4 linked regions of the Lonchura striata genome follow. The protein of the gene in region 4 interacts with the protein of the main gene of each other region in a biochemical or structural test. Links are inferred from orthologs where the notes say so. Each region holds a gene or a part of one and is shown on either strand. Other genes may lie near its edges. The genes, in order: NR2F1, GTF2E1, GTF2F2 and GTF2B.

Region 1 (7,123 bases), on a different chromosome or scaffold from region 4:
ACCGCTGAAATGCACAAGTAAATTGATGTATCCCTTTTTAAAATGAAATATTAAATAAAATAATTCATAAAACCAAATGCGTCCATATTCTTCAAAAAATACCTCGACGTTACCCTTCAAGCTGGAACAGGTCGCAGCGTTCCAGCTCCCCACTGCTAACTTTATCACACAGAACCAGCTTTCCATCGAGACCCCCCTCCCCCGCCCAGCAAAGTTTTCCCTGCTAAAAGGAAGAGAAAGGTTAAATATTATCAAGGGAAAGGGGGAAATAAAATAAAAATGTCCGAACTTACAATAGCCAAACATTCGTGGGAAAAAAAAGGGGACGGTGTAATTAATATCTTTGGTGAGCTGTTGCCACTGCAAAAGCCTGCAGTCAGCGTTGCACAGTGAATGCACAAGCTTGCAACTGCAAAAACACTGGATTCATTAACCATCTCCACACAGAGCGTAAGCATGCCTCGAGTCCCGAAAGCTGACCAAAGTTGGTTTTTTTTTTTTTTTTTTTTTTTTTTTTTTTTTTTTTTTTTCTTTAGTGTGTGCGTGTGTTTTATTCCTTCAGTGCCAGCGTTTGCAACCGCTTGCCATGTAAACAAATGTAACTTCAGGGGAAGATACGGCTACTCAGGCTTGTACCCTGCACACACAGACACCCCGCACAACCGCACACGTTTGCAGGCACACACCCGCACATGCAATCACTCATGTTTCCGGCGCGCCACATTTTTCTCAACTTTCTCTTTTCTTCCCCGACGAGCCCTCCTCCCACCCGGGCCAGATCTCTGTCCTGCTGCCCTTCAGCCTACCTCTCCCTCTTCAATCTACTTGTAAACTTGGCAGATATTTTTCATTTAACTGCATGCATAATTCTCACTTTTTTTTTTAATTTTTTCTCCTTCCTTTAAAAAAAAATTTGCTTGCCTCCACTCTCCTAGGTGCCTACCAACAGCCCCTGCAACTACCAATGAAGCCATCATATTTGTGAGCTCTTTCAGATCTGGAGCAGCCTAATTCAAATTCTTTTTCCGTGGCATATAAAATACAGTTTTAAAATCCCTGCTCTGCAAAATCACCTATTTTGCTGACGTGACATCTTTAGAACATCTTTAACGACAGTCACAGGGTAAACTTTAAACCGAGAGAACATGTTTCAAGGAGAAAGGAGGGCAGCAATTCTCCCTACACGAGGATGAGTCTGAACGCAAGGAAAACCACAGACAACTTTTGGAAAGAAGGAGAAAAAAAATCAGCAGAGCGCTTGGAAATAGTGGGGACCCCGTGCCAGATGCAGGCTGCGGATGCTGCTAAAATGAGAAGAACCGGTAAAGAGGTTATAAATCGAGATTTGTATGAAGACTTTAAGGAGAGGGTGGAGTTTGATGCAGAAATAAAATGAGCAGCGCACTTAAAAAAAAAAAAAAATGACAGAAGTACAGAAACACGGTTCAGTCACAAACTTTCCTTTGAATGCATGGAATGAAAACAAGGCCAAATCTCTCACAGAAGCACACTCCTGGGCACCGGGAAGCACATGGAAGCGAAGACAGAGTAGCACATTTCCTCCCCTTTTCTTTTTTTTTTTTTTTTTCCCTTTTCTCCCTTCTATCTTTTTCACACCCTTTCCTCTTTCTTTAATTACAAGTCTTTCATCTTTCTTTCGGGTAAAATGAGCCTGAGAGATGAATCTCAAATACCGAGAGGTATTGCAGGTTTAAAAAGAAATGATGGGGTGGAAAGGGGGTGGGGAGGGGGTGAGGGGGAAGGAAGCTGAATGGAGTCACATCTCGTACGGGAGAAAGATGTATCTCCCCCCACCCTCCGGTCTCATGCCAACAATAGACAAAACCACATCTAAAACACGCACACGCACACACGCATACACGCGCGAGCAGGGGGAAGTGGGGATAGCGGCTAAATGATAAATATTTAGCAAGCGATTGTAATAATAGTAGTAATAATAATAATAATAATAAATTCTCTGCACAATTATCAGGAAAGGGGAGAGTGTGGCAGTGCTGTAGAAGGGGGTGGGGAGGAGCGGGAGGGAGGGCAGGAGGCACACACCGAAAAGCAAAAGAAAACACCACCAACCACCATCGACAATAACAACAGAACCTGGTGCAAAGCTGCCAGATGGAGTGCAGGCAGAGGAAGAGATTGACATGTGCATGGAAATATATAGAGAGTCCTGGCTGGATTGCTACGGAGAGCTGTAAATATATATATATATATATATATATATATATATGCACATATATATATATGTGTGTGTGTATTTATTTTTACATATTTATATTTATATGTGTGTGTGTTTGCACGCCGCGCGTGTGCGCGCGCGCGTGTGTGTATAGCTATATGTATATGCATATAGGTGCGCGTGTGTGCGCGTACGGACAGGCAGACACAGACAGACGGAGAGCCCTCGCACACGCACGCCTGCACAGCCAAGGGGAGAGGGGAGCGATAGCATAGTAGTGAAGAAATATTCACCTTCCCGCCTCATGCCCACTTTGAGGCACTTCTTGAGGCGGCAGTACTGGCACTGGTTGCGGTGGTGCTGGTCGATGGGACAGTTCCTGTTGGCGCGGCATGTGTAAGTTAAGTTCCTGCGGACGCTCCTCTTGAAGAAACTTTTGCAGCCCTCGCAGGTGAACTGGCCGTAGTGCTTGCCGCTGGACTTGTCTCCGCACACCACGCATTCGATGTGCTGCTGGCTCTGCCCCGAGCCCTGCTGGCCCGCTCCCTTGTCTCCGGCCGTGCCCGGCGTGGAGGGGGGTCCCGGCTGGCTGGGGGTCTGCGGGGTGTGTGGGGTGGCCGAACTCCCCTGCTGCTGGGGCTGCTGCTCCCGGGCCGGCTGCGTCGCGGCCGGGTTGGGGCCGCTCGGAGTGCCCCCGGCCACGTCTTCCTGCGGATCTCGCCAGCTGCTAACTACCATTGCCATATCTCGGGCCCAAAAAAGTGCTGGGGAGCGGCGCGTCTCGCTGCGGGCTGCCGGGGAGTGAGGCGGGGGGCGGGGGGGTGGCGGCCGCCCGGGCGCCGGGGGCGAGCGGAGAGCGAGGGGACCCTTGCTGCCGCCTGCCTCCGCCTCTGCTGCCTCCGCCGCTGCCCTGCTGCCGCCGCCGCTGCTGCCGGCTGGAGCCGCTCCTGCCGTTTTCTTTATTTTATTTATTTTTCGCCGCCGAGAGCCCCCCTCCTCTCGCTCGCGCTCTTGCTAATTTTTTTTTTAGAGAGGGGGAGGGGGCGACGGAGGATTTTCTCTTTCTCTCTTCCCCCCCCCTTTCCTTTCCTTTTCCTCCCTTCCTTTTCCTTTCCTTTCCTTCCCTGCCCTTTCCAGCGCTCCCCCCTCTTTAAAATACCCCCGCCTGACCGCTTCTCCCCTCTGCTCCCGCTCTCCCCGGCTCTCACTGCCTCTCCTCGCCCTCCCCCCCCCCCCCCCCCCCCCCGCCGCCACTTCAAGTTGCAAAATCAGAAACGGCAAACAAGGCTGTCGGGAGAGGCATTCAGGAGAGTAACACGCCGGACACGCACACGCAGGCAGACACGCGCGCAGATGCCCGGCACACGGCTCCCCACTCGCGCACACGCACACACGCACGGGCACAGGCACACGCGGTCCGGGCGCTACGAGCGCGGAGGATGTGCAGGCATAGAGGAAGCCGCGGCGCCGCCGAGGAGGAGGAGGAGGAAAAGGAGGAGGAGGTGGAGGAGGAGGAGGGGAAGGAAGAGGAGGAGGAGGAGGTCGCCGCTCGCCGCTCGTCGCCGCCGGGGCTCGGCCGCCGCCGCTCCCGCGGAGGCTGCTGCCGCTGTCGCTGCCGCCGGTGCCGGTGTGGGCTCTCGGGGAGGCGGGAGGTCGAGAGAGGAGCCGCTCGTCGGCGATCAGAGTATGGAGGTGTCCGGGGGCCAGGTCCAGGGCAGTGCGCCGTCAGCCATTCAGGGCGGTGGAGCCGGGGAGCTCGGCGGAGGCGGGCAGGGAGCTGAGGCAGTTTGATCTCCTGTCGCGGCGGCAGGGAAGGAGGAGGAGGAGGTTGCCGGTCGCTGCTCTTTCTCTCCCGAGCTGCTCTCTCTCGCTCTCTGTCTCTCTCGCTCGCTCGCGCTCTCTCTCGCCTTTTTTTTTTTTTTTTTTTTTTTTTTTTTTTTTTTTTTAAATCGCAGAAAAAAAATCGGATGTGACTAAATTCGCAGAGGAGACGAATTCACGGCGAAGTGTAAAAATAGAGAACGGGAATAATAACGACACTTGCAGGAAAAAGAGAGATCCAAAGTAGGTCGGTAAATAAATCCTCTTCTCTTTCTTGCCGTTTCGGTGTTCTTCTGTGAGAGCGCACGATACTGGTTGCGAGGAAAAAAAAAAAGGAAGAAAATCGGTGGAAATAGTCCCAAAAAGATTCTTTTTGTTTGTTTGTTTAGTTGCTTAAAAAAAATATTTCGTGTAAAAACTCATCACCCAGAAAAGAAGCCCACCCCCAAAATTAAAAAATAGGCAAGAATGGTTAAAATAATAACGGTATTAAGATGTGAACGCGTTCTCTCTCTCTCCGGACTTTCCCCCTCCCCCCTGTTTCTCTCTCTCTCTCCTTTCCCCCTTTTTTCTTTCTTTCTTTCCGAGTTTGTTTTTTTTTTTTTTTTTCAGTTTCACCTCTCTCCTCTTCTCCTGCAGGAATGAAGCGAAAGACACAAGGAGGAAGGGTGGAAAAAAGAAGAAAAGGAAGGAGAAGAGGGAGATGAAGGGGGGGCACACAACTAATAGAATATGCAAGAAAGAGAAGGGGGGGGAGAGAGGGAGAGAGGGGGAGAGAGGGAGAGAGAGGGAGAGAGAGAGACCCAAAAAATGAATGCGTTTAAACGGTGAGCCTAGCGAAGCAATGTTTCCGAAAGGGGGATCTGCGCGAATGTCTGTATATAGTGAACTTTGACACTACTATTGAAACTGACACGTTTCTATGGAGATAGCTGCCTTATATGGAGCTCGTGTCAAGGACCCAAGAGAAGGGCTGCTGGCAACTGATAATCAAAGGCGACTGACTGGTCAGAGCCCTGAACTGGGGGGAGAGAAATTGGGAGGCTAAGGTTAGCCAAGCCTCCTTCACTCCATTGGTTACCCCCCAGCTCCCACCCCCTCCGCGCTTTTCTCTTTCTTTCTTTCTTTCTTTCTTTCTTTCTTTCTTTCTTTCTTTCTTTCTTTCTTTCTTTCTTTCTTTCTTTCTTTCTTTCTTTCTTTCTTTCTTTCTTTCTTTCTTTCTTTCTTTCTTTCTTTCTTTCTTTCTTTCTTTCTTTCTTTCTTTCTTTCTTTCTTTCTTTCTTTCTTTCTTTCTTTCTTTCTTTCTTTCTTTCTTTCTTTCTCTTTCTCTCTTTCTCCCTCTCTTTCTCCCTCTCTTTCTCTCTTTCTTCTCTTTCTCTTTCTCTTTCTCTTTCTCTTTCTCTTTCTCTTTCTCTTTCTCTTTCTCTTTCTCTTTCTCTTTCTCTTTCTCTTTCTCTTCTCCTTCTCCTTCTCCTTCTCCTTCTCCTTCTCCTTCTCTTTCTCCTTCTCTTCTATCTCTTAATTTTTAAAAATTTAAATTAAAAAAACATTCTCTGCTACCTACTGAATGGGATGGGGAAGGGAGGGGAGAAGGGGAGGGGGGAGGAAGGGAGGGAGAGAGGAGATTCTTCTGACAAGCACAGTTTACACTGAGATCCCCCTGTGCTGCTATTTACTTTGAGACCTGAGTAGTATGGGTCATCTATGGCCCCTCTACTCCCCACCTCCCCACCCCATCACACAGAGGAGGATGCATTGCGAAAGGTAGAAAGGTGCATATAAAAGGACACGATATGGGCTCCCTGTGAAAAGTTAGTGTGGGTTGGGGTTTTTTTGTGTTTGTTTTTTTCTTTTTTTTTTTTTTTGGGGGGGGGAATTTTTTTTTGGTCTTTTTTTCCCCACTACAGATCTGAAATAGGGATTTGCCTTCCACTTTCCCGTTGCAAAAGCCACTCCAGGGTTTTTAATGATGAGAAGGAAACACGCGCGCTGCACGGAGGAGCAGGCACCCGTATATGCACACCCCTGCACACACACGCGCTCGAGTCCACACACGTATTCAAATCCCCATATGTTCCCATCCCACTTAGGGCTATTTTTGCAGCCTGTCCCTCGCCCCTCACCCCCTCATTCCTCACCTAACATGTCCACCTGCAACCCCGCAGGGTTCCACGCTTCTCGCGGGGGTTTCACCCCTACCCTTTAATTTTATTTTGGGAGTGTGTGAGCAGTCACAACAACCCCAAACGGTCCTGCACGCAATGTCCTTCGCTTCATCCCCTCCCCAGGGTCTCCTGCTCTCCCTACGCAGGCGGGTGAGGAGGATGCGCGGGGGGGTGGTGGGCTGTCGGTCCCTCTCCTGCCCCTCGGCTCCCCTCCGCGGCCCGGCGCGGCTCCGGCCCCGGCGAGCAGGAATCGCTGGCTCCGGCTGCCATCTAGTGGGCACGGAGCCGTCGGCCCGGGGGAGCCCGGGAAGCCATTCCGCGGCCTTCCACCCCATCCCCGATTTAACAAAAAATGCATTTCTGCTTTTTTAAAAACAATTGTTTTCAATAGAAAACTAAACTGCGGAGAAGACCTTCTTCTTTTCAATTTCTGTCTCTCTCACAAGCCAGCCTTATCGGCAGCTTCCCTTTTGTCAGCGATCTGAAATTTGCCTTGGGTTCGAAAGACTGAATGTGACAAAGAAGAAGCAGACTGTAAAAACTGAACAGCTTCTCCCCGCAATAAAAAATCCCACCAAAACTAACACCCCAAGCCCCTCTACTCACCACTATATTTTTCTCTTACCTCCCATTAAAGTTTATAATCAGATTAGAATCTGGATGGAAGACCTACAGAAGGAAAGTGAATTAAATAGGTGACAGAAGTTTTATTGTTACTATTTATTTTTGTAAAGTGATGTTGCTTTAATTAAAAGTAGAGAGAAAAAACCAAGCCCCTCAGATTTGATGTATAGTGATCATTATATTTTTTTTTCTTTCCCTGTCAACTCTGAAATCTAAGGCTGGGAGCCTCCTGAAGAAAAGATTCCTTCATCATTTCTAAGATCAGAATAAACGCTTGATTTTGTCCCGAAATAATGAAGAGATTTTCAATGAGGCC
Region 2 (7,845 bases), on a different chromosome or scaffold from region 4:
TTAACACTTGCACAGGTGCTTCCTGTTTTTCCCCAAATTTATTTAATTAGCGTTCTTTTCCACTAAATCTTTGAAACCAGCTTTTGTTGATTTGCTTAGAAAATGCTTCTGCAAGCTTCTGACACACAATTTTTAAGAAAGGGGAAAAATATTACTTGCTTGCACCACTGACATAGTTTCTTCAGGTAAAATCAAAATCAGGTTGTAATAAGAGAATCCCCTCTCCTGTGAATGTAGCAGGTACAACAATATTCTGCTCCTGCTGTCACTTGCAAACACCAGATCCCAGCTTGTAGTCTCACACTCTAACTTGATTTAAAATTCTGCTTTTCAGAAGATGATGCGGTTAAGCTAAGAGAAGAAATCCTGAATCTTCCTGAGAACAGGAAGGAAAGGCATACATTTCAGAACTACAGTGGGAAAATATGTCATCAAGACTTTCAATATCTGTACAACGTAACCTCAGACACTATTCATTCTTTCCAGAAAAGGGCACAGAATCTTCCACTTTGGAGTTTTGTTTTTACTTGCATTTCTCTGTAGTGAGTCCATAATTGCTTTTATCCCACATCAATTTCAAAATAAAGCCTTCTGACATTTTATCAAGAGCTTACTGAGTTTGATTCCCTGGAGAGTTCACAAATGCTGCTGCTCAGCCTTCCTCCCGCACTACATCAGGATGAGAAATAAGTGTATTTTCATTGCAAGACCTGCCTTGAAGTATGAGGGCAGAAAAGAACAATCTCTGTCCACTGAAATCCCATCGTCTTGTTGGCTTTCCATAAACTGAAACCAGGAAGCCTCAGGTATCAAAGGGATTTATTCACTCAGCATGAGAAGTTGTGCTGCAGCTGAACACAGAAAGGCTGAGGGGCTTGGCTGAAATGAGGGCTTTTTCCCCTAATTTCACAAGTGAAAACACATGGAACCAGATGTAGTAAGGCCACAATGTTTAACCACACCAGGCAGAAACTGAACAATGCAGGCTCAGGATGTAATTCTCAATCACCTTTATAATCTTAACCCAGCATAAACAATTGCAAGGTGTCAGGAAATTAAAGGACCACCTGTGTGGTCCTTTAATGGATGAAATTTCCTGTTGCAGCTAAAGTCAAATTTCAACTTCCCTCCCCTAAGGAAGTCTTTCTTTTCCTTCCTTGCCTTTAGCCACAAGCCCCACCTTTCTGTCCTAATTCTGGCAATTCACTAATCCTGTAGCAACAAGAATCAATTGATAAAAAGCGAAAAACTGACATATCAAAATAAAAAGTGGGACATTTCAGAGAGAGCAAAGGGGAAAAGTTCAAGAATTTAATCATTTATGTTACCAGACTAGAGCCAACACAAAACAAAGAAAAGAATGCATAGCTAAGGATGTAGATAAGTGGGGAGCTTTCCCCACAGAGGCAAAACTGACCTAACTGTAATGTGAGGCCATTAGAAAATTTTAATTATGGATACCAGAACCTCTTACAATTTACACTCTGATCTGAACCTACCAGGAGAATATGTGTTATTTCAGAGACGTGTAAGCATCAGCCCTCACACAATGTAGTTGTAAGGTTTAGGGGGTTTCTTTAAAGGGAAGAAAGTAAGATCATTTCTGTCACATATCAAGCCTGGGAAGTCATGATTACACCAAGGCAAAGAGAGCTTAACCCAGCATTCCTTTCTACGTTTCTGACAGGAAAAAAAAAACACAATAATTGCTTTTTCACATTATGGATTCAATAAGACCTGTAATGCCACACTTTTCATCATGATAGATGATGTGAGCAATATTGCCTTTTGGAATTTCCAGAAAGACAACGAAAAATTATGGAATCATTGGGTTAAGTACAGTTTTAGTTAGGTGAGTACATACCCTGGATAAAAGCAATAAAGAAACAAAGAAACTAAGTAACAAGACACTAGATTAGCTTTAATTAACATAGTTTCTTGTTCAGAAGAATCCCATAAAGCATCCTGTGAGAAAGTGAGCTGTATGTGACAGGAAGTGGAAGGCAGGAATGCAATTCCCATCAAGCCTCACTCCGGCCTGAAAACATGTTCTCCTTCCCAGGCACATGGCTCTGCCCTCACACACCACCTAGTGCACCAAACTGATTGCTTAAAGGTAGGAAAATACTTTTTTCCCCCCTCCTTTTTGCTATGTTTTCCAAGTTAAGTGAGCTGGTGGTGAACTCTGATGAGCAAGAGAACCAGCACGTCCAGAGAGGATGCCACTGCAAAACTCCACCTTTTGTGGATGAAAAATATTAAGCTATCTAGACTTCAAGAAAATGCACCTTAGCTGTGCACGGCTAAACACCCTTTTCAGAATAATCATTCTGCTTTTTCATTGTGAGCTGCTTGGAATGGCACAAGCCTAATAGCTGGAGCCATTGAACAGCAGCTCGGTGCCACTATGAGATGTGATGTTGGCCTGCTACTCGGGGAACCAGCACGCTGCTGAGGCCAGAAGAAATATAATACACCAAAAAAAAAAAAAAAAAATCAAAAACAAAGCAGGAACGAGCTCACTTTGCCAGGCAGCTACTCCTGAGATGCCCGTCAGCCCGCATGTCCCTCCGAAGCACACAGGGCAGAGCTCCGGGCGTACAGCAGCACAGCGAGCTGCAACGCCAGCCTGAGGGGAGAATCCCTCCCCGTCTGCACCGCTTCCCACTCCCTACCCGCTTCCATGTGCTCAGCTTTAAACACCGAACTGTGTGGGATTCTGTAGGGCAGGAGGAGGTCAGCAGAACCTCCTTTTTAAAAAGGGAAAAAAAAATATATAGAAAACAAAGGAGCCTCAACAAACACCGCAGGAGGAACGGCAAACGGTGGGGAGGAGCCAAGGCGAGGAAGGGGCCCGGACGGGCACACCGTGCGCGGAGCAGGGGCCGCGGGCCGCAGGCAGCACCCCGCTCCCGGGGCCGGCACTGACCTGGCGCCGCTTCCAGCTCTCCCCGGCTCCGGGCGGCGCCGCCCGCCTCACCGCCACGCGCGCCGCCGCCCTCAGCGCCACCGCCAGCGGCGCGTGCGCCGCGCCGCCCCTCCCCGCCCGCGCCTGCCAAGCGAGCCAATCGCCTGCCCGCACAGAACCGCGCCTTCCCGCCCTCACCGGGGATCAACCAATCAGAAGTGACAACCGCGCCGGCCGCTCGAGCAGGCAGCCAATAGGTTGGGAGGAGCGGGAAGAACACGCGCCGCGATTGGCGGGCGCCCCCGTGGCCGGGCGTTGTTGCTAAGCAGGGTAAAGATGGCGGCTCTGGACAGGGTCAAGGTGCTGGTGCTGGGCGATTCCGGTGAGTCCGTGTCTCCAGGCCGGGTGGCCTGCGGCCGCTCCTCGGCCATCTGCTCCTCGCTTCCCTCCCCGTCACCCGCTGAGGAGCCGGGACCGCCGGGACTCAGTGCTGCTCCGGGCCTCGCCACCTGTAACCTTGGCACCGCCTCCCAGGAGTTGTTCTCTTCTGTGCACTTGCAGGTGTCGGGAAATCGTCGCTCGTCCATCTCTTGTGCCACAACCAGGTGTTGGGAAATCCGTCCTGGACAGTGGGCTGCTCCGTGGATGTGCGAGTAGGTGACGTGCACGGCCTCTTGGTGGCCCTGAGCCTGACGTGTAAAGGAAGGGCCTTGACTTTTTATTTTAATTACTTACCTCCCCAGAAAGAGGTGTACTTTGATCATGTGTTTTGCTGAAGGCTTAATCTTCTGATGCAAGTAGCGTCAAATGTGAGCCAAGCACTTGTGTAAGCGAGTTTTGACCTTCCAAGGTTGTCACAATCAGACAAGACATTTGACACTCTTTGCTCTGCTCCCTGCTGCAGTGCCCACTGGTGTGTTACAAGTCACAGGGTGGCCAGTTCCTTGAGAAACAGGCAAGGAACGGCCAAGTTGTCAGCCAAACACAGTGGGAGAAAACACTTTGCTTGTTTAGGTTGTGGGAGCACAGGAAAGCTCTAGGTCATGCTCATGTGTTAGAAAAACAAATTAAAATTTAGGGCCTGGCATGCTTCAGTGCTCTTAGGGCTGGGTGAGGAAATTGACAAGAGAAATTTACTGTTGAGACCTGGACACCAGGAATGCAGAATTTATAAACCACAAAGACAAGTTACAGAAAGCAGAGCTGAGGAAGAAACTAACAGACAATTAATAAGACTGTCCCCATCTGGGAAAAAGATAATAAAAAAGGCTGAAAAAGTAGGCTAGTTATCATGAGAAGTGAGAAATCAATAACCAATAGAAGATCAAATACTAATTAATGAAGAGAACTGCATTACTTGTAAGCCAGTGAGCACTAATTCCTTTGTTTGCCAAAATGTATCAAGAATTTTAATTTTTGGTGACTGATGTACACATTTGGTGAAGTGCTACTCATGTACCTCAGTGCTGAATAAAGTAGTGTTGATTTTCTAACCTAACTGGGTTAGAGAGTTTATTTCCTGGATTTTGGTGACAGTTGTGACCATGGAGTTGCTTCTCCTCCTGACTACTTGCTGCAGGACCTGCTGTGGGAAGAATGAGGATGTCCATCCAGCAGTTCTTTGGCCCAGCCTACAGCCCTCATGGGACATTGATAAATGCTCTTCTCCTTCATCACTCTTTGCTGCATTCTCCTTGAAATGCATTGCCCTAGGTTAGGAATGTATTTCCAAAATCTGAGGAGAGGAACGTGGCAGTCCTTTTTGACTCTGGAGCAAAACGACTCAGCAGATCTGGGGGCAGAAGTTGTTGATTAATTCAGTTGAGATGCCAGAGTTTGGGTAGGAAAAAGATGTGTTCAGTTGGCATCCAGGTCTGTCACCTGTGTTTATATTCTTGCAGTGCTGCCCTGTGGGTTTTAACAACTAAGAAGTCATGACCTTAATTTTTCCATTTGCTTTAGCAAAACACCGTGTCCAAGCACATCATGAGATGTTGGGTTTGTTAATACTGAGATGCAAAGGGTGCTCCCCGTTTACTCACCAGGCTCCCTCTCACATGAGATGGTGATCTCCATCTCTGTGGTGCCCAATGGCTGCTGCTTGGCTCATTCCATCTCTCTTCCACTCAAGAGGTTTGAAATAGTGTGTCAGCATGAGAATTTCCAAATTTCTATCCAAGTGCAATAATCCTTCCAGCTGGAAGTGTAAGTGCCATGTGGATTAACTCCTGTGACATGGTGCTGTGGTTATGTATAATGTGAATTTTTCATCAGATCCATGACTACAAAGAAGGAACCCCAGAAGAGAAGACCTATTACATTGAGTTGTGGGATGTTGGAGGTTCTGTGGGCAGTGCCACCAGTGTGAAGAGCACAAGAGCTGTGTTCTATAATTTGTTGAATGGTAAGTGTGCTTGGTGTAAATATGGTTTTTAATTCTGTTTCTGTTAGGAACTGTCCCTTGGTTCTGGGGCAGAGTTTCAGGCAGCCTGCCTGGGGGCTACATTGTTCTCCTTTCTGATTTATACAGGAACAAACCTGATACCATTCATAGGCAGAATTTTATGGATTCAGTTGTGAATGGCAGATATTTCAGGCAAACCTGGGCAGATGAGCTCTATCAGCCTCCCCCTTCAGTCTTATGCAGCTGGCACAGCAGGGAGGCTTTGAAGGTGCAGTGGTTACGTCCATCTTTCCGGGTCTCCTATACTGCAGAAATATTATTTATATTTTATAAAGATTTTTTTATGATTTATATTTTCTTATCTGTTCGGTTGTAAAACTTACAGCAGAAAAATTACTGTTCCAATTTTTATGACTTCAATAGTTACATCCTACCCTGGCAGATTTGAGCTGTGTCCCATAAAATTGCCATATGCTGATTACCATCTTGCCTCTGCTCATTTAGCTTACCAGCTTATTTTTAAGAGTTAAACCTTGCCACTTACTGCATATGTAAAAAGCAGTATTTTGTGCCTTCTGTTGAGATATTGTCTTAAATGCCTAGTAGTTAATTTGTGTCTCTAACAAGAGCAAGTAAGAGATTATAAACATAACAGTGCAGTATTTCAATTGTTACTTTTTGTCATCCCAGGACAGTTCACTAAAAATAGATGTGTATCAGACTAACACCAGCTTATGAAAATCTGGCTCAAATATTGTGTTTGATTCTCTTTGCTTATTCCCACTCATTTGAAGGTTTTTCAATAACATGTTAAGCCACACAATAAACATTTTTGGGCTATGATTAACTAGTTATTTCTTCCTCCTTTCTCAGGGGAAAACTATTAGTTACCTCTTGCTTATACTGTTAACCAGATCTCTGTGTATAAGACGAGTTGAGCTATGCCCTCAAAGCAAGCCTCTTTAGGATATGAAAAAAAAATTGATTTCTTTTTGATCCCAAATCTACAGTGTGCCAGGAAGTGTGGTTCAGACTTGGAAATACCTTAGAACAGCCCATTAAAAAATGAAATCTTGGACTCATGCATCTGAATTATAATTGATGACATTAAAATAGAGTTATTTATCTCCACTGCCCAAAAGATACTAATTAGACAGCTTGCATATGAAGAGTTGACTTTGGTAGTTAACCTTGGGTCTTGTTTCTTTCATTAGATTAATTTCTCCATTAGAGCTTGTCTCACAAATTGCCTCTGCTCGGCCTGATTTAAGAAGAGAAGATGAATACATTCCTTCTGCTTGACTGCTTGTGCTTTCTGGGCTTGCAGTGGTCTGAAAGCCAGTCAGTGTTTGGTTGTGGCAGCAGCTGTGCAGGCTGCCGGGTTGTTGACAGGGCTGGTACACTTTGGTTTTGGATTATCCACAGATCTTCTTCTTTGCTGAATCTCCAGCTGGTGTGGGGACTGTGATATCTGTGGACAGTGACTGGGCAGTAAGGCTTTGGCTTGCAGACCTTGTTGTGGGAGGAGCATTTCCCTGAGTAGTCATTGGTCCTGCCAGCTCTTTTTGGATGTTGACAGTCTTTTTCTGCTGGTGCAACTAACTGGGCAGGTTTTAGGTGAAGCAGATAAGGAAACTGACCAATCAGACATAACTGAGGGAGAGTGTGTGGAGGTGGGAAGTGTTTCTCACAGGTTGTGCAGCAGTGCCTCTGGATCTGTTGCTGTAGGCCAAGTTATGTTGTGTCAGGCATTTTCTCTCTATGCTGGGGGTGGACATGCAGCAGAGTTGCTTTTTTATACTGTTACTGAGATAAATGCTTGAAAATAGGGCTATAGCTGTGATATGCTGGGAACTCTCGTGGGAGAGCCTGTGCACAGTCATGTGGGATAGTGGAAAATATTTGTGGAAATGCAGTTTGTTCATGGCGTGTACAGTGGGTGGCACCTCTGGAAGTTACGGTGAAAGATAAATTACTGAGTTTTTTCCACCTGTGGGCTGTGAAGTGTTTTGAGAATGAATCCTGATGCAGATAAGGGATATAATTGCATTTTATCCTTGAATTGATGATAGTTTGAAGTCTGGAGGAAGTGGGAACATTCCACATATTGCAGAAGGTGTGAATAAATAGAAGAAATTTGCTAGCAGGAGTTGGTAATTGAGTTAGGAACTGTGGTTATCAGAAGTGGGTGTCTGTTAATAGCACAGCTAGGAAGCTTGACTCTGTCTCAGGATTTACATTTTGAAGGCTCATAGTAATGAAAAATGCTAGAAACTTAAGATTAAGTGCAGTAAGTCTTATTAATTCATGCTTTTACCAGCCATTTAGTGGAGTATGAAATTTTGCCAGTGTCTGTTTCCCCTTTGGATACCTCCCCAAATATATTTGCATTAAGTCTGGAAAATGTAGGAAGGCAGTAGTTCTCTCTGAACTCTTTTGAAACAAAGAAAAAGCCTTCAGACTTTATAGATGGTGTGATAAAAAATAATTATGTTTACCAGAAAAAGGCTAAAATTTTCTACTGCAGTAATAT
Region 3 (7,982 bases), on a different chromosome or scaffold from region 4:
GATGAGCGACTATAGATGCTGCTGACCTTTTGTGCTGAGGTAGTACATTACTAGAGAAGAAGATCAGAAAAAATATCAAGGAGTGCAGAAGAACAGGTTAAACTCAGTTCTATGTAACATTTTCTATATACCTACAATGAAAAGGCACTTTAGAAAGTAACAAGTTGATGAAACCTCACATTACCTTTGTACTATTACTAGGTTGAAAATGTTGCATGCTTAAAGCTCCTTCTTGAGAGACAATGGTGAAAAAGGCTAGATAATATTTTTTTATGCCTGAGAGGCACAAAAAGTACCTTGAGTTAAAAAGATAATGCCGATTTTATGGTCATTAAAAAAATTATTTTAAATTAGGTTCAAACCAAGTATCTGAAATTCTCTAACAAGTGTTTTCTTCCTTTGAAAAAAATAATTTGCAGTTGCGTCTTTCAATTTTCTCTCTTCCCCCACTCCCACTCCTTCCTTGATATGGTGAAAATCCTAATAAGCAAGAGTACAAGCTGCCTACAGCCAAATTTACTGCACACTGTCAATCTGATGGAAGACATGGTATGGGTTGGAACTGCAAGCAGAGGCGCAGCACCATTACTGTGAAAACGAAGTATTCTCCAATATATAGCATAGATAAAAATGTATGGCTGTAAATATATAGAAAGAATTAAAAATTATAAATGAATGAATGAAGGCTGCCATCTTTTCAGAACTGCCTTTTTGTGTTGTGTTTTGCAGCAGAAATGCCATGTTGAAGATTTCATACTGCCTAGGATTTTACTGAAATAGGAGCTCAGCCCTGTGGTTGATGTTTTCCAACTCTGTGCCACAGAACAGCTTGGACTAAACAAGTCTGTTATTAACATGTTGCTCAAAAGCAGTTTGAAAACACAAAAGCTCCAACATATATTTTGTCTTAAAAAGACACACTGGAAATTCTTTGCTGCCTCAGGAAATAGGTATGCAGACCATACCCTGTTTTGGAGTAAGTTACGCAGAATTTATTTTCTCTTATTTAAAAATAAATAATAATGATCTGCCCAGATGTTCTTTTTGTCTTTGCAGATTATTTCTTCTCTTTTTTTCCAGCTTACACAGACCAACTGCACCACAAACGAGAGAATGATGCATTACAGTTGAAGATGGCAAAAGTTTTCCCTCCTCTTACTCAAGCAGTTCAAACAATAATGGTAGTTTTGAGATTTAAGTTTGAGTTTTTGTGGCATCCTCATAAGTCCATGAGGTCTTTGCTGACTGAAAATTCAGGTATTCAGAATAAAGGCAGCACTCATCTCCTCCAGCACATGGAATCCTCTCTGATGGTGTCCATCGCTGATACTCTGTGGGAACACCGGCTCCCAGGAGCACATCTTCCCTAGTTCTTGCTGGGCTTTGAGGAAAGCACATGGGTTCCAAAATGCAAAACTCCCATCAGCTTCAACAGGGAAGCATCAGGCTTTTTGCATCTTCCGCTGCACTGATTTTCACCAACTACCACCAGGTTGCATCAATTAGCCTGTTCCTAAAACATTTGAACAGAAATTCTGTGTGGCTGCTGATGATGCTGCCAACTCTTCATCTCACCTAATAGGACAAGAGGAAAATAAAAATGAAAGGCTGTGTAAGTCTCAATTTGGCCATCTCTCTTCTCAGACACATCTGTTTCCATGCAAGCAAGAAGAAAATGGGTGACTAACACACAGCTCTGCAGCTCAACAGCTGGCCCCTGGGTCCTCCTCCATGGCACTAAATGTGTCCCTGGTAAACACAAGGTTGAGATTTTAAATGAGGAATTAATGAAAATGCGTACTTTTTCCTGCTTGTTGTCCCTTTAAATTCAGTTTCCATGGAAACAGCTATGGAAAGGCTGCCTGGAGGAAGCCAGGAAAGATCTCTGCCTGGTCGCCTTCCCCTCTGGGTTGCCAGCTGAGCCACTTCGATTGTCAGGCTTTTACAGAGGTTTTTGCTATCGTCATTTACACATGGAATATGAGTGATGACTCCTCATGGATTCCCTCCCTAAGGAGTCCTGAGGTGGTCAGCCATGCTCCTGCCACCTGCTGCTGGGCTCTCTGCAAGTGGAGCTCCTCTCCTTCCATCTGGTGGAGCACAGGCCCATCTGAGCCCCCATGATGCTGCTTTGCTGCAAATGTCACCCCTGTTAGAGACATCCATTCCATTGCTTTTTTCTTTTGAAATGTGATGGTGCATGTGATCTGAGTACACAGACTGAGCTGGGAGCAGTGGTAGAGGGACAGTTTTGTTGTTAATTCAGTGTTTATCCCGGGGGAACATTTGAGATCCCTCCTGGAGTACTGCATCTAGCCCTGGAGCTCCCAGCACAAGGCAGACACTGACCTGTTGGATAAGGTCTGGAGGAAAGGAACTAAAATGGTTAGAGGGCTGGAGCACCTCTCCTATGAAGACAGACTGAGAGATTTGGGCATGTTCAGCCTGGAAAAGCAGAAGCCCCAGGGAGAACTTTTTGCAGCCTTTCAGTATGTTAAAGGGGCTCACAAGAAAGAGAGACACTTTTTATTCGGAGCCTGTAATGAAAGGACAATGTGCAATGGTTTCAAAGAGGGTGGGTTTAGATTGGACATCAGAAAGAAATGTTTCCAAATGAGGTTAGTGAAACATTGGAACAAATTGTCCAGAGAAATTGTGGATGCCTTATGCCTAGAAGTGTTCAAAGCGAGGTTGGATGGAACCTGGATGGACCTGAGCAACCTGGTCTAGTGGCAAGTGTCCCTGCCCAGGGCAGGGCGTTTGGAATTAGGTGGTCTTTAAGCTCCCTTTCAACCCAAATTGTTCTATGATCCTATGAGCAGGATCCAAAGCAGGTTGTAAAGCAATGGTGTTTGTCTGTGTAGATCCAGATCCACTCTTTTTCCAGATGAACAAAACCAAAGGGTCTTAGACCTACAATATTTGGGGGTGACACAGTCCCAGAAAATGGGGCTGGTCTAACTACTGTTGAGATGCACCCACTTCCATTTTTATTAGCATTTGAGGAGCCCTTAGTAGGCCTATGTAAGGTTGTCTTAAAGAAAACTGAATTTTCAGTGGAAGTTAACTAACAGTAAAAGATTTATCCACCCTCCAAGCTGAGTTCTACAGAAAAACACAGTTCAAATGTAAAAACAAAAGCAATTTTAAAATGCAATTAATTTTAAATGTGACTTACCCTAGTCAATATAATAGTTCAGTGTTAGCCATAATTGCTTCAGATACATATAAAAATGTTGTCCTCCTTGGTTACCTAGATGATTGCCTATAATTAGAAAGGCAGACTCTCATATCTGAGATATAATACTACTGAGATCATTTTTTATGAGCCAGATTAGCAATTTCCTGCATATTGTACCAGAAAATACCCTCTGCTTGCTGCTGGTACAGACTCAGATAACCTTCACCGTTGAGCAACCAGACTTCAAAGAGGATGTAAACTTGTACTGGGGGCAATTCAGAGAGCAATGGACATAGCCAGAGGTCTAGAGAATAGACCTATGAGACTGAACTGAACAAACGGAAGTTATTTAGTATGAGAGGAGGTAAATCAAAGGGCTACATCTCAGTAAAAGGATAAAATAAAGAAGAGAGGAAGCTAATGAAATGCTTTCCATGCCATAGAATCATAGAGCAGTTTGGATTGGAAAGGACCTTAAAAATCATCTAGTTCAAACCCCCTGCAGTGGAGAGGGACACCTTCCATTAGACCAGGCTGCTCAGAGCCCTGGCAAACCTGGCCTTGAACACTGCCAGGGATGGGGCATCCACAACTTCTCTGGGCAACCCATGCCAGTGTCTCCAGCATGTCCATGTCTTTCTTGTGCCTATAGTGGATAGAAGGGAGATAACAAAGTTAAACTGCAAAGGGGGAAAACTTCCCCAGAGATAGTGACAACTGTAAAATAAGGACTTGGGTTTTTCTTAGCCAAATACACCCACCTCAACCTAGGATGGGCAGGCACTTTCCTGACACAGGACATTTTCAGTGTCTCAGATGCCCTCCTATCTTTGGACAGCCTAGCCCAACACTTCCTCATGAGTTCTCTTTCTGGAAAGCTAAGCTTAAATCTTTACTTTTTATTCCCAGGAAGTGATTCACCAGCTGTGTTTTCTAACTTTCTTGGCCTTTGAGCACACCATGATGCTCTGATTCCCTTTCACAGAAGCTAGTCCTCTAGCCACCATTTCCCTCCTAAACAGAAGGGCACTATCATGGTAGTACCTCCTCTCTCCAGGCTTCTCCTCCAGTCCTTCTAGATCATTACAGCATGCTGGGATAACTATTCTGGTACCAGGAGGGAATAACTTCCTGCTATGCTCTGCGCTGGTGCTGCCTCACCTCGAAACCTGCGTGCAGTTTTGGGTGCTGCAGTGTAAGAAAGACATTAAGCTGTTGGAGAGCGTCCTAAGGAGGGCAATGAGGATGGTGAAGGGCTTTGAGGAGAAGCTGTATGAGGAGCAGCTGAGGTTCCTTGGTCTCTTTATATTGGAGGAGACCGAGGGGAGCTCTCGCTGCAGTTACAGCTTCCTCGGAAGGGAAGAGGAGGGGCAGGCACTGATCTCTCTCATAACCAGTGACAGGACCTAGGGAATGGCCTGAAGCTGTGTCAGGGGAGGTTCAGGCTGGGTATCAGGAACAGGTTCTGCACCCAGAGGGTTGTTGGGCACAGGAACAGGCTCCCCACGGGAGTGGGCACAGCACCAAGCCTGACAGCGCTCAAGGAGCATTTGGACAGTGCTCTCACTGTCCAAATGCGACACTCGGGCACGTCCTGTGCAGGGCCGGGAGTTGGACGCGATGGTCCTTACACGTGCCTTCGAACCTAGGCTATCCTGTCACACAGGAACTTTCTGCGGGGGATTCCCGTCCCTTCCCACGGCCCCGCCCGGGCGGGGACCCGAACCCGCGGCTCCGACGCAGCGGGGCCCGCCCCGCCGCGCCGTGCGGGCGGAGGAGGTTTGTCCCTCACGGGCCGCCGTGTGCCGGGTGCGCTCCGCTGCCGCGCTCGTCTCGCCCGGCGCCCGGCCCGGCCCGGCCGCTGCCCCGCCATGAGCGACAAGGGCGAGCTGGACCTCACCGGCGCCAAGCAGAACACGGGCATGTGGCTGGTGAAGGTGAGGAGCCGCGGCCCCGGGCCCGGCCCAGCGCGGCCTGTGGCAGCCGGGTCCCTCCGTTCGTCCCGCCCCGCCGTGCCCGGGTTGGCGCCGTGAGGCCGCGGCTGCCGCGCCAGGCTCGGCCGGTGGCCCGGGACAGCCGCTGTGCCTGCTCCCCTTCCCGGGGACAGCGCGGGCTTGGACCCCGTGCCCGATCAGTAAAGGAGACACCGCAGGGCTGCCGGGAGCTATCACAGAATCAGAATGTTGAGGGATTGGAATGAGCCTTACAGTTCATTCAGTCCCAAACCCCCTTGCGGTGGGCAGGGACATCCAGGACTAGACCAGGTTGCCGAAGGCCTTATCCGGCCTGGCTTTGAATATTTCTAGGGATGGGGCATCCACGGCTTCTCTGGGCAACCTGTGCAATGTCTCACCACCCTCACAGTAAAACATCTTTTCCTTGTCCTTGCTAGTGGTTTGCGATGAGCAACAAACGTGGCCATGTAACTTTTATTTCTCCAAAACTTTGAGAGTTGGACAATGTTTTGAATGTGCCCAGATTCACGTCCTGATTAAAACTGTCCACATCCAGCAAGGAAAGAGGATGCCAGTGTCTTGTCATTACAGCTGCCTTTGGTGCTAGTGAAATACAGCTGTAGTGGGGGGGCTGTGAAAAGGTAGCGAGGGTGTCAAATCAAACCTGTTTGGTGCAGGGCCACAGTCCAGCCTGGTGCCACCACTAACAGGCTGGCATTGCTCTGTTCCCTGGAGTCAGTGTTTTTGCTGTCAAGACATTTTCCTGCCAATACCAAGCATTGTTTCAGAAAGGGGAACTTGAAGCTGATGGGGGAGCATGTGCCCTGCCTGCTTCGTGTCCCCTCTGGGTGTGCTCCTCTTTTTCTAGACCTATATTTATTCTGTCTTGGGAGAAACAGTTCCTTCATCCCCTTTGTTCTTTAGGAATAGTTTCAGACCATCAACTTGAAAGAACCTGTGGGGACAGGTACTAGTCCTGGGTGGTGAGGGGGGTGTAACATCATCACACTTCAGCTACTAAAACTGCTTGCTGCGGCCCTTAAAAACGGTTGGGATTTCAGACTTGCTTTGCTGTGCAGAATTTTTGGTGGGCAGGTTGCTGTGTTGGCTTCCTCTTCTGATGGCTGAGTGTGTGATATCACAAAGCCCCAATGAGCACTGTGCAAGTGCTCTAACTGCAATAGCTTTTCCCTGGTGGCAGCAGAAACCTGCGGAACTGGATCATGACGTTCTGAGTGACAGGATGATAAAATGGCAGATGAAATTAAGAAATTAAGATCTGAAAGAACTAATCTGGTGTGCTTAGAGAAAAACTATCAGAATTATTTGTATGCAGCAGTTGGGTTTCTGCTGGTTGTTGTAATTCAGGAGGAGTGTTTTTTTCTGTACATGGAGATAACTCTAAGAATATGTCAAATGAGCAGAGCCAACATTGGACATGATTACAAAAAGCACAGAAAACAAAAGAGAAAATATTCTTGTACCATCATGTTGCCTCTATCCAGAATGCTCTGCGTAGCCATGGTCTCATTCCCCCTACTGTAGAAAGTGTGCAGACCCGGGAACAGTAAAAAGGAGATCACCAGATCTTGTCTTGGCAACAAGGAATGATGGCTGTGGAGGGAACTCCTAAATACCAACCTTTTAGGCTGGCAAGAGGATTGATTTGGAAATCTTGCAGAGATCTGAAGGAATGAGTAATGTCATGGGTGGATAAGGAAGAAGTGAATAGGCAAAGGTGAACAGGAAAGAATCAGTTCAGACACAAGAATTAGAGGTGTGTCAGATTAATTAATTGCTGGGGCTCAGCAAGAGCAAAGGAGGTATTGTTTTGCACAATGTGCATTTAAATTTTGGAACTTCTTGCAATTAGGAGTTCTGAATTTCAAAACTTTGCAGAAGCTCAAACACAATCAAATTCTGGCAAGAAAATTGACTTCAGAGATTAAAAAGTAATATGCTGACAAACCCCATGTCTGCTAAAACACCCTAGAAATTAGAAGAGCATGCTGGGGAAATAAATTTTCTTCGTATGTTCCTCCTGAAGTAACTGCCACTAGCTGCATTTGGGGACAGGACACTGAACTTGCTTGTCCTTTAGTCTGATACAGTTTGATGTTTCCTGAAGCAAGGACTTTTCAGGCAAATTTGTTCTTACAGCTGGTGCCACTCTGTTTAATGAGAAAACAGGACTGAAAGGAAAGCTGGACTATTACTCTTCCGAGTAAATGTTGATGTAGTCCTTCATGCATGTGTTCTGACCTTACATCTGTCTTCTTTTTTAGTAATGATAGTAAAAAATACTTAAAAGATGCTAACACTGATAGATGATAACATGGGGTATGCAGGATTTTATCTTTTGATTTCCTTTGGACTTGAACTTGGAAACAACCACATCTGTTAGTAGGACTTCCAACTCAGAGGCAAGACAGTGTAGTGTCTGTGTAGTACCTGTACTTTTTATCTTCACTAGCTAGGGCAATGAGGATGAATTTATCCTTCCTTTGAGGGAGAGAGCATTCAGTTCTGATGGAATAAAAAACCTGGCTTATTTGATTTCCTTTTAGCATGCTTTGTGCTAGCACAGGAAGTATTCCAGAGAGGCTACTTAACGGGCAATAAAAAAAGGTAGTGATGAGTATTTTAGAAGCATGAGCAGTAAAAGGAGGTACTATAAAGAGAGTGAGTTGCTTTAGTACAAATCCAGAAAGCCACTAGATTTTTATTTTTGTGTTTTCAGTGAAAGCTAAAGTGGAGAAATAGTAGTAGTATTTGGTTATGTACTTGTGGTAAAGTGAAGCCCATTTAGTGTTAGCCATTAGAATGTTAATTTCTTGCTCTCTGAG
Region 4 (6,846 bases):
TTTCGTTATAAGCAAGTTATTTCACAGAGAGCTTTTGTAACATCTCTTATACTTTCCTGAATGAAAGAAGTCATGAATGAAGACAGAATATAGGACTAGACAGCACAATACTCTAACTCATATTATAGCACATTTTAAATTTTCAGTCTTTAAAGAGAGTTTGATTATTTTCATAGTGCAATAATTACCAGAAGACAGGCTATTCAGAGCAGTAAGCTTTTAGCAAACAGACAATCACAAAAGAACCTAAGCCCCACACAGAAAAGCAAAAACAAACAAACACTCCATCAAACCTACCACTCACACTTGGACATCAAGAGGGCAGAAACCTACACACACCATTTAGGTTACATGGCAATTTATAAAAATACTAATAATTACTTACCTACTACTAGCCCACACTCAGAACAAATCATATCACCAGCTCTGTAGTCCTCCACTAAAATGGAATCTGGATGATTTGGGCAAGTCACCCTCGGAAGTACATCCAAACTAAGAAACAAATGACAAGTATTCATTACTATTAAACAAGCAGACTGCATATCAAAAGCAAAAGAGTTCCTTGATGATAAGAAAACTTCAGTAATACAGCATTTAAGGATTTAAATTACAGAATATTAACTTGATTACCTGAGCTGCACTTTTTATTTGAATGCTGTAACACTACAATTGGCAATCAAGACTTTAGATCAACTTAAATTCCAATTTTCTTGTAATGTATCTTGTACCAAAATCACTTCAAATCAAGACATTAAAAATCTATGTAACAGACTTGACTAAATGCAGTATAACTCAAACTACTGCTAAATGCAGTTTCGTTTCCCAAGTTAGTGGCAATTTCCTCATTCCAAATGAGCATTTTCACTCCATCTACTAAGAACAATATTATTTACCAGGTTCTTAACTCGGGAAGTAGTGCACATACAACATGTATGCTTGCAAAACTCCCAATTCAAACACTGGTTTATTTTAAAGTATTTGAACAATAAATTCCATTTTAAATTAAGCAATTAATAGCAAAATATTAAAAAATAATCAGGTCCTAAGGCAATTATATGACAAGAAGTTCTGAAAACAGGGATCTCTTTCACACCCATGGATCTTTAACAATTACAGCTTCCCATAAAGCATTAGCATTACTTAATGCAATAGCTTTTAGTTACTGACTAAAGTAACAGCCAATTGCTTCTAACCAAACGTTTTAAAAGTAAATGCTTCATATTAACAACTGTTACATAGTTCTACTAAAACCAATTATTTAAAAATTGTAATAAAAAGTGTTTACAATTGGGATCCATGTATTTCACAAAGCCATTTTGCTCAAAGTTAAAAGCACAAGAGTACAGAAGTTTGATCTCAAACAATTTATCATGACTATTAACTTCCATCTCATTAAACCAAAAAACAATTTTTAATCCATTCAATTGTAAAAAATTTCCCAATAGAATTACTCTGAGTTACCCATTTGCCACTGCTATTTTTGCCATTAATTCAGCCTAACCTATACTTCCCATCTTAATTTTCATTTTTTAGATATTTCTGATGAGTCTAGAATACAAAAAACCCAAACATTTTAATCCACTGACTGTTCACAAAAATGTCTGCAACCTGAAACCAAAACTGAAAATCAACGTAACTATTAATATTAAAACCTCCAGAAAGCACTTGTCAACACAAGATCTTCAGATGTAAATTATGTTCAAAACAGTACATGAAAGCTCTTTAAACTACTTTCCTTCTATTCCCAGCCACAAGTTTCATATGACAACACTGTTGACAAAGCATTCACAATCATCTGACATTTGGCATTACATAAAAGGCAGTGACACACCAAGCAAAAGGAAAAAAGAAATCCAGACACCCCAAAGAATACTAACCATGTTTTGTTTCACACTTTACCTTCGTAAAACATTGCAGAAATTAGTCTTCCCATCCTAATTTAACTCGGTTTATCTACCTACACATATATATTGTATCCCCTGCAATGGGTTCAATTTGCTAAGCCACCTACACGCAAGGAAAATGCATGTCACGTGTGTAAAGGCCCATCTCAGCAAATAACTCCCGAGACGCAGCAAGATTACTCGGAAGCACTTCCTAGATCCCAGGACAGGTTTAGCAGGAGTTACAGAGTCATTCCAGTCTGCTCCGTGGGTCTTTCTGACTAGAAAGAAAAACTCGGCACGTCTCCAGGAGGCAAGAATTCAGAACCCGAAACCCCTCTGGTCACCGACTAGTGGCGGTACGGATTTAGGGTGCGAGCCTAAAAGCAGCTTCCAGGCCCCGATAAGGTGGAGTCAGGCCAGGGAGCCGCTCGGCTCACGGCTCGCCGAGCAGTGGGCACGGGGCCGCAGCAGTCGGTGCCGGCCGAGGGACGCGGCGAGACGAGCCCGGCACCACCTCAGGCCCGCACGGCACGGCCCGGCCAAACCAGCCGCGCTCGGGGGACACACCGGCCCGAGTCGCCGTCCGCACCGAGCTGCGGCTGACAAGGAGCCCGGCGCTCAGGTCATAAATCCCCCAAAAACCTCGGCATCTCCTCCGAGCGCTGCCCACCAGCAGCGACACAAAGATGCGAAGGTGGCGAGCTCGGCCCTCAGAGGCCGCTCAGCCGGGGACCGCCCGGCCCGGCCCACACCAACAGGCGCGGGCGCCCTGAGGCCCGACCGCCCGCCGCCCTGAGGAACGGCCCCGACAGACAGAACACCGCAGAGGGGCCGGCGCACCGTGCACTGCGAGAGCCGCGCTGAAACGGCAGCCCCGGGGCCGGGCAAGAGCGGCGATGGCCGCCGGTCAGTCCCCAGGCGGTGGCGGGGGCGCCGCACCCATCCTCTGTGTGTGCCGCGGAAGGGAGCGATGTCGGAGCAGCTCCCTCTCCTCCCTCGGGCCCCCCGCGCCCAGACCGCGCCCGTACCGGCTGGTGGACGCCATGTCGGCGGTGCTGCACCGGCGCCGGAGATCGCGCGGCCGGACGGCCCCTGTGATTAAATCCCGAGAGCGGCGGGCGGGGCCGCCGGGCGCTCCTACGGGTGCCGCGAGGGGGCGGGCGCACGCGCGGTGCCGGGCGGGGCCGTGCGGCTGCGGGCCCGCAGGACGCGGCCCGGGACCTTCCCCTCGGCCCGGGACCTTCCCTTCGGCCCGGGCAGCAGCCCACAGACCCCCGCACAAAGCCCACCGTGCCGGCCCCGGGGCGTGGCTCCGGCTCAGCTGCTCCTGTGCACGCTCCGGCAGTTCCGTGAATTCCCACGGAAGACAAGCGTGAGCAGAGCTGCCCCAAGTTTGCGCAGAAGTACATGGGCTACAACACGTTCTCGGCTCTGGAACTAAGCGGAGACCAATTCCCAGAAAGGGGAAGTTTAATTTCTCCTTCCTGCTGTCGCCTGCACAGCTGCTGCGGTTTGGCAGTGGGCTGAGGAACGGCGAGGAGAACCGGGCGCTTCTCGGGCAGGGCCCGCCGGTGCCGGGCCGGCCGTGACTCGGACGGCCGCGGCGAACGCGCCGCGCTCACGCCTCGGGCTCACTGAAGCAAACACAAAGCCCCCCGCTGGTGTCCGGGGGCTTCCCTTGTCCCGCCGCACACCTGCATGGTGGGATCAGCTCCCCTTCTGTCTCTCCTCCTCGCATCCAGCTTGGCAGAGAGTATCAGGCCTAAGAGGAGGAGAAACTACAAAAACTGGTCTTTGCAAGACCAAAACCCTTCAGCACTGCACTAGAGTCCTGGTTTTCACTGCCCAAGAGTTTATCTGCATGCGAAATTGGCCTGTAGAATGTGCAGCAACAACTGTTTTTCAAGGCCAATATATAAAACAGTGGAACGTAAATTTATTCCTTTAGAATGAGCCTCCCTGCACTGAAAGAGAAGGATAAATGGGACAGGAAGGCCTATAAATTTTGTAAAGTGCCATTAATGCTTTAAAGTGATCAGTATTGAAGTCTCTCAACAGTTATAAATTTGCTATCTATTTATTAATCAGATACACAGGACTTTTCACACCTATGGAGCTCATGTCTCCACAATATAACAAGAATATTTTTCAATTTACTAGCTTAAAGGAAGAAATCCCCTGTGGTTGAAAAGATCTCTAATACTTATAAAACTGAGTCAAAATAATTATCACACAACCTCCAAACACTTCTCTACCAACTGCAGTTCTATTTGCTGGTTGAAAATGGGCAGGTTTAAACTTGACAGCAAATTCCTTAGGCTAAAATAAATAGAAACCTTTTGGAATATAAGAAAGCTGAACTATTAGAAAATAGAAATGCTGAGATACAAACTTAAAACTTTTTTTCCACTTGCAATAATATTTTTCAGAAATGCTCAGTAAAACCAAAAGATGAAAGAGTAATGAAAAACAAGTCACTGTAACTGTTGGTGTGAATATAGCACATGATATAAGGTTTTTCCATAACCTCTGAAATATGTATGGCGCAATGACTGCAGTAGATGTGCCTCATCACCACAATGTGTCCCTTCAAGCTTTCCAGGTTTGTCTTGGTTTCTTCTGCATTCTGTTCTACAAAAAAGATGTTCTGCTGGCAACCATTGCCAAGCCTCTAAGCCTATTCTCATTAACTTAGAATTGAAAGCATTTCATTTTCACCATAGAAGGACAGTGATTTTCAGATATATTGCAAAACTACAATAGATATATAATGGTTCTTTTATTCCTTGTCTGCAGCAATTTTTCAAGTAGCAGACAAAAAACGTAGTTATGTGGCAGATGGAAGTACCATTAATATGCTCTGTCAACAGATCATTTTAATAATATACAAAGTTTACCTTGCTGTCCCCAGCTGTTCTTTCCCATCACTGTAGTCACAACAATAATCCTATTTTAAAACTTGCTTCAATGGTCATTCTGGAGCTTCTCAAAATTTCACACCAAGTTTCTCATGCTGGTTACTGTCAGTAATAAAAGTATTTAATTAAACTGCAATTTTTGCATTACCAGGATCATTTCAACAATAATGCAGTGGGATATTCAGACTATTTTGCAAACACAATGAACAGTACATTAATGAAAACAAATCACTGGCTCTTATTTGTATGTCTAAAGGATCTTTGTAATGGTTTGTTGATTTATCATGTAGTTCAATAGCCTGTTGCAATCTCAGTTCTTGCAACATCACGGCTCTCCCAGTGCAACTTGTATAAACAGATTGTAAACTTCTTGTAAAAGAGAGTATAGGTTTCACACAAATTTGGTGTCTAAAAAGTAGTTTATCTTAGAATTTAATATAGGAATTTTTAAATTAAATTAATTCTGAAATTTCAGCTAAGTAAATCTAATTACTGAATTGATTTTTCTACACAAAGACTACACACCACTTTCAAAATACCAGCCAACAATCTTCTGGTGAGATCTGGGGAATGGCTATGCAAGACAGCTACAAAGACTGTGGAACTCCCAGCTACTGGAGTCCCAAAAACCCAAGACTAAGAAGTATTAACGAAAATATCTAGCAGCTCTTCTCTCAGGCCACTTTCTATACCTTTTTTTAGGTCCTGGCCATGATTACAGTCTCATGGAACTCAGTTAAGAGTCCAGCTGTGTGATCACAGAATAAGTAAAATGCTGGCAAAACAAGTTAGTGAATTTGTTCAGGCTTTGCACCCATAAGAGCTGTGTCATTGTTTAAGCCCAGCTGTTCACTCACCCACCACCCCAGACTGGTGAAATGGGGAGAAGAATCAAAAGTAAAACCTGTAGTTTGAGATAAAAACAGTTTAATAATTGAAACAAAGTTAAAAAGAACAACAATAGTAATTAATAATTATAATAATAACAAAAAGAATTTTGAAAAAGGAAAAATGAGTAAGGCACAATGCAGTTGCTTACCAGCCCCTGACTGATGGCAGACCCCATTGCTGAGGCCCCGTTCAGCTCCCCCTTGCCAAAAGCTCCCCAGCTGATGTACTGGCCATGACATTCCATGGTGTGAGTATCCATTGGCCAGTTTGGGTCACTTGTCCAGCTACGTTCCCTCACAGCTTTTTTAGTTTTTTTTGTTCCTCCTCACTAGCAGAGCAGGAGACACAAAAAAGTCTTTGATTTAGGATAAATGCAACTTAGCAACAACCAAAACATCAGTGTGTTATCAACCTTATTCCCATGCTGAATCTGAAACACAGCACTGTACCAGGTACTGAGAATAAAATTAATTCTATCCCATCTGAAACCAGGACAGCCTGTGAGAAGAACATAGAAAGACCATGGAGGACATAGCACACAGCCTTAAAAAGTCACCTGCCTGGATTGCTTCTGATAGTGGGAAACACATCCACAGATGAAAAGATTGCAGAAAGAAGTGAAAAAGGAGGTAGCTAGAAAGGAATTCTTCATACTGACTTCTTTTGAAATAAGTCCTTTATCTACTGTGCTTGAAACCAAGGTAGTTGAGCTCCATAGAACAGCATTGGCAGCATTAGGCTAATAGCATTAGACCTCCATGGCCCCCTAGATCTAAAGAGTTTGAAGTTTGGTGTGATACTGCCAATGTTGTAATATAAAGGAAACATAATGACACAAATAATTACATCACTGTACATCTGATTGTAAAGGAGCCTCTAAAGTAAATTTTGCTTTGTACATTCATCCATGTAATAAATACAAGGTAGCCAGAGGTAAATAGAATGCCTATTCCAGATGCCACTTTTATAATTGTATTGAGGACTGAATACTTTCAGAACACCATACATGACTATTGTGGTGAATAAAATAGTAATTATGTAACTTAGCACTTTTCACTTTATTTAACTGATACAATTTCTGCAGCCAGAGAAGGTAGCAGGTATGAAGAGAGTCACTGCAATTATCTAATATGGGCCATGGGTCTTAATCT

What was found.
Region 1: the proteins of GTF2B (region 4) and NR2F1 form a complex in vitro, tested with the Homo sapiens proteins (2 studies listed by BioGRID and IntAct). The link is inferred for Lonchura striata from reciprocal best matches to the Homo sapiens genes GTF2B and NR2F1.
Region 2: the proteins of GTF2B (region 4) and GTF2E1 form a complex in vitro, tested with the Homo sapiens proteins (2 studies listed by BioGRID). The link is inferred for Lonchura striata from reciprocal best matches to the Homo sapiens genes GTF2B and GTF2E1.
Region 3: the proteins of GTF2B (region 4) and GTF2F2 form a complex in vitro, tested with the Homo sapiens proteins (2 studies listed by BioGRID and IntAct). The link is inferred for Lonchura striata from reciprocal best matches to the Homo sapiens genes GTF2B and GTF2F2.

What each region holds. Positions count from the first base shown.
Region 1 is NC_134642.1:68,473,279-68,480,401, reverse strand, and holds the start of NR2F1 (COUP transcription factor 1), read right to left. Parts: upstream 3,011-7,123; 5' UTR 2,942-3,010; coding exon 2,491-2,941; intron 2,291-2,490; exon of another isoform or gene 307-2,290; coding exon of another isoform or gene 294-306; intron 1-293. UniProt on the Homo sapiens protein: Coup (chicken ovalbumin upstream promoter) transcription factor binds to the ovalbumin promoter and, in conjunction with another protein (S300-II) stimulates initiation of transcription. Binds to both direct repeats and palindromes of the 5'-AGGTCA-3' motif.
Region 2 is NC_134604.1:27,752,160-27,760,004, reverse strand, and holds the start of GTF2E1 (general transcription factor IIE subunit 1), read right to left. Parts: upstream 3,017-7,845; 5' UTR 2,930-3,016; intron 1-2,929. Other genes in the region: RABL3 (rab-like protein 3), read left to right, coding at 3,245-3,290, 3,470-3,561, 5,183-5,312.
Region 3 is NC_134604.1:60,919,862-60,927,843, forward strand, and holds the start of GTF2F2 (general transcription factor IIF subunit 2), read left to right. Parts: upstream 1-4,963; 5' UTR 4,964-5,052; coding exon 5,053-5,118; intron 5,119-7,982. UniProt on the Homo sapiens protein: TFIIF is a general transcription initiation factor that binds to RNA polymerase II and helps to recruit it to the initiation complex in collaboration with TFIIB.
Region 4 is NC_134611.1:19,524,421-19,531,266, forward strand, and holds the start of GTF2B (transcription initiation factor IIB), read right to left. Parts: upstream 3,003-6,846; 5' UTR 2,932-3,002; coding exon 2,915-2,931; intron 493-2,914; coding exon 386-492; intron 1-385. UniProt on the Homo sapiens protein: General transcription factor that plays a role in transcription initiation by RNA polymerase II (Pol II). Involved in the pre-initiation complex (PIC) formation and Pol II recruitment at promoter DNA.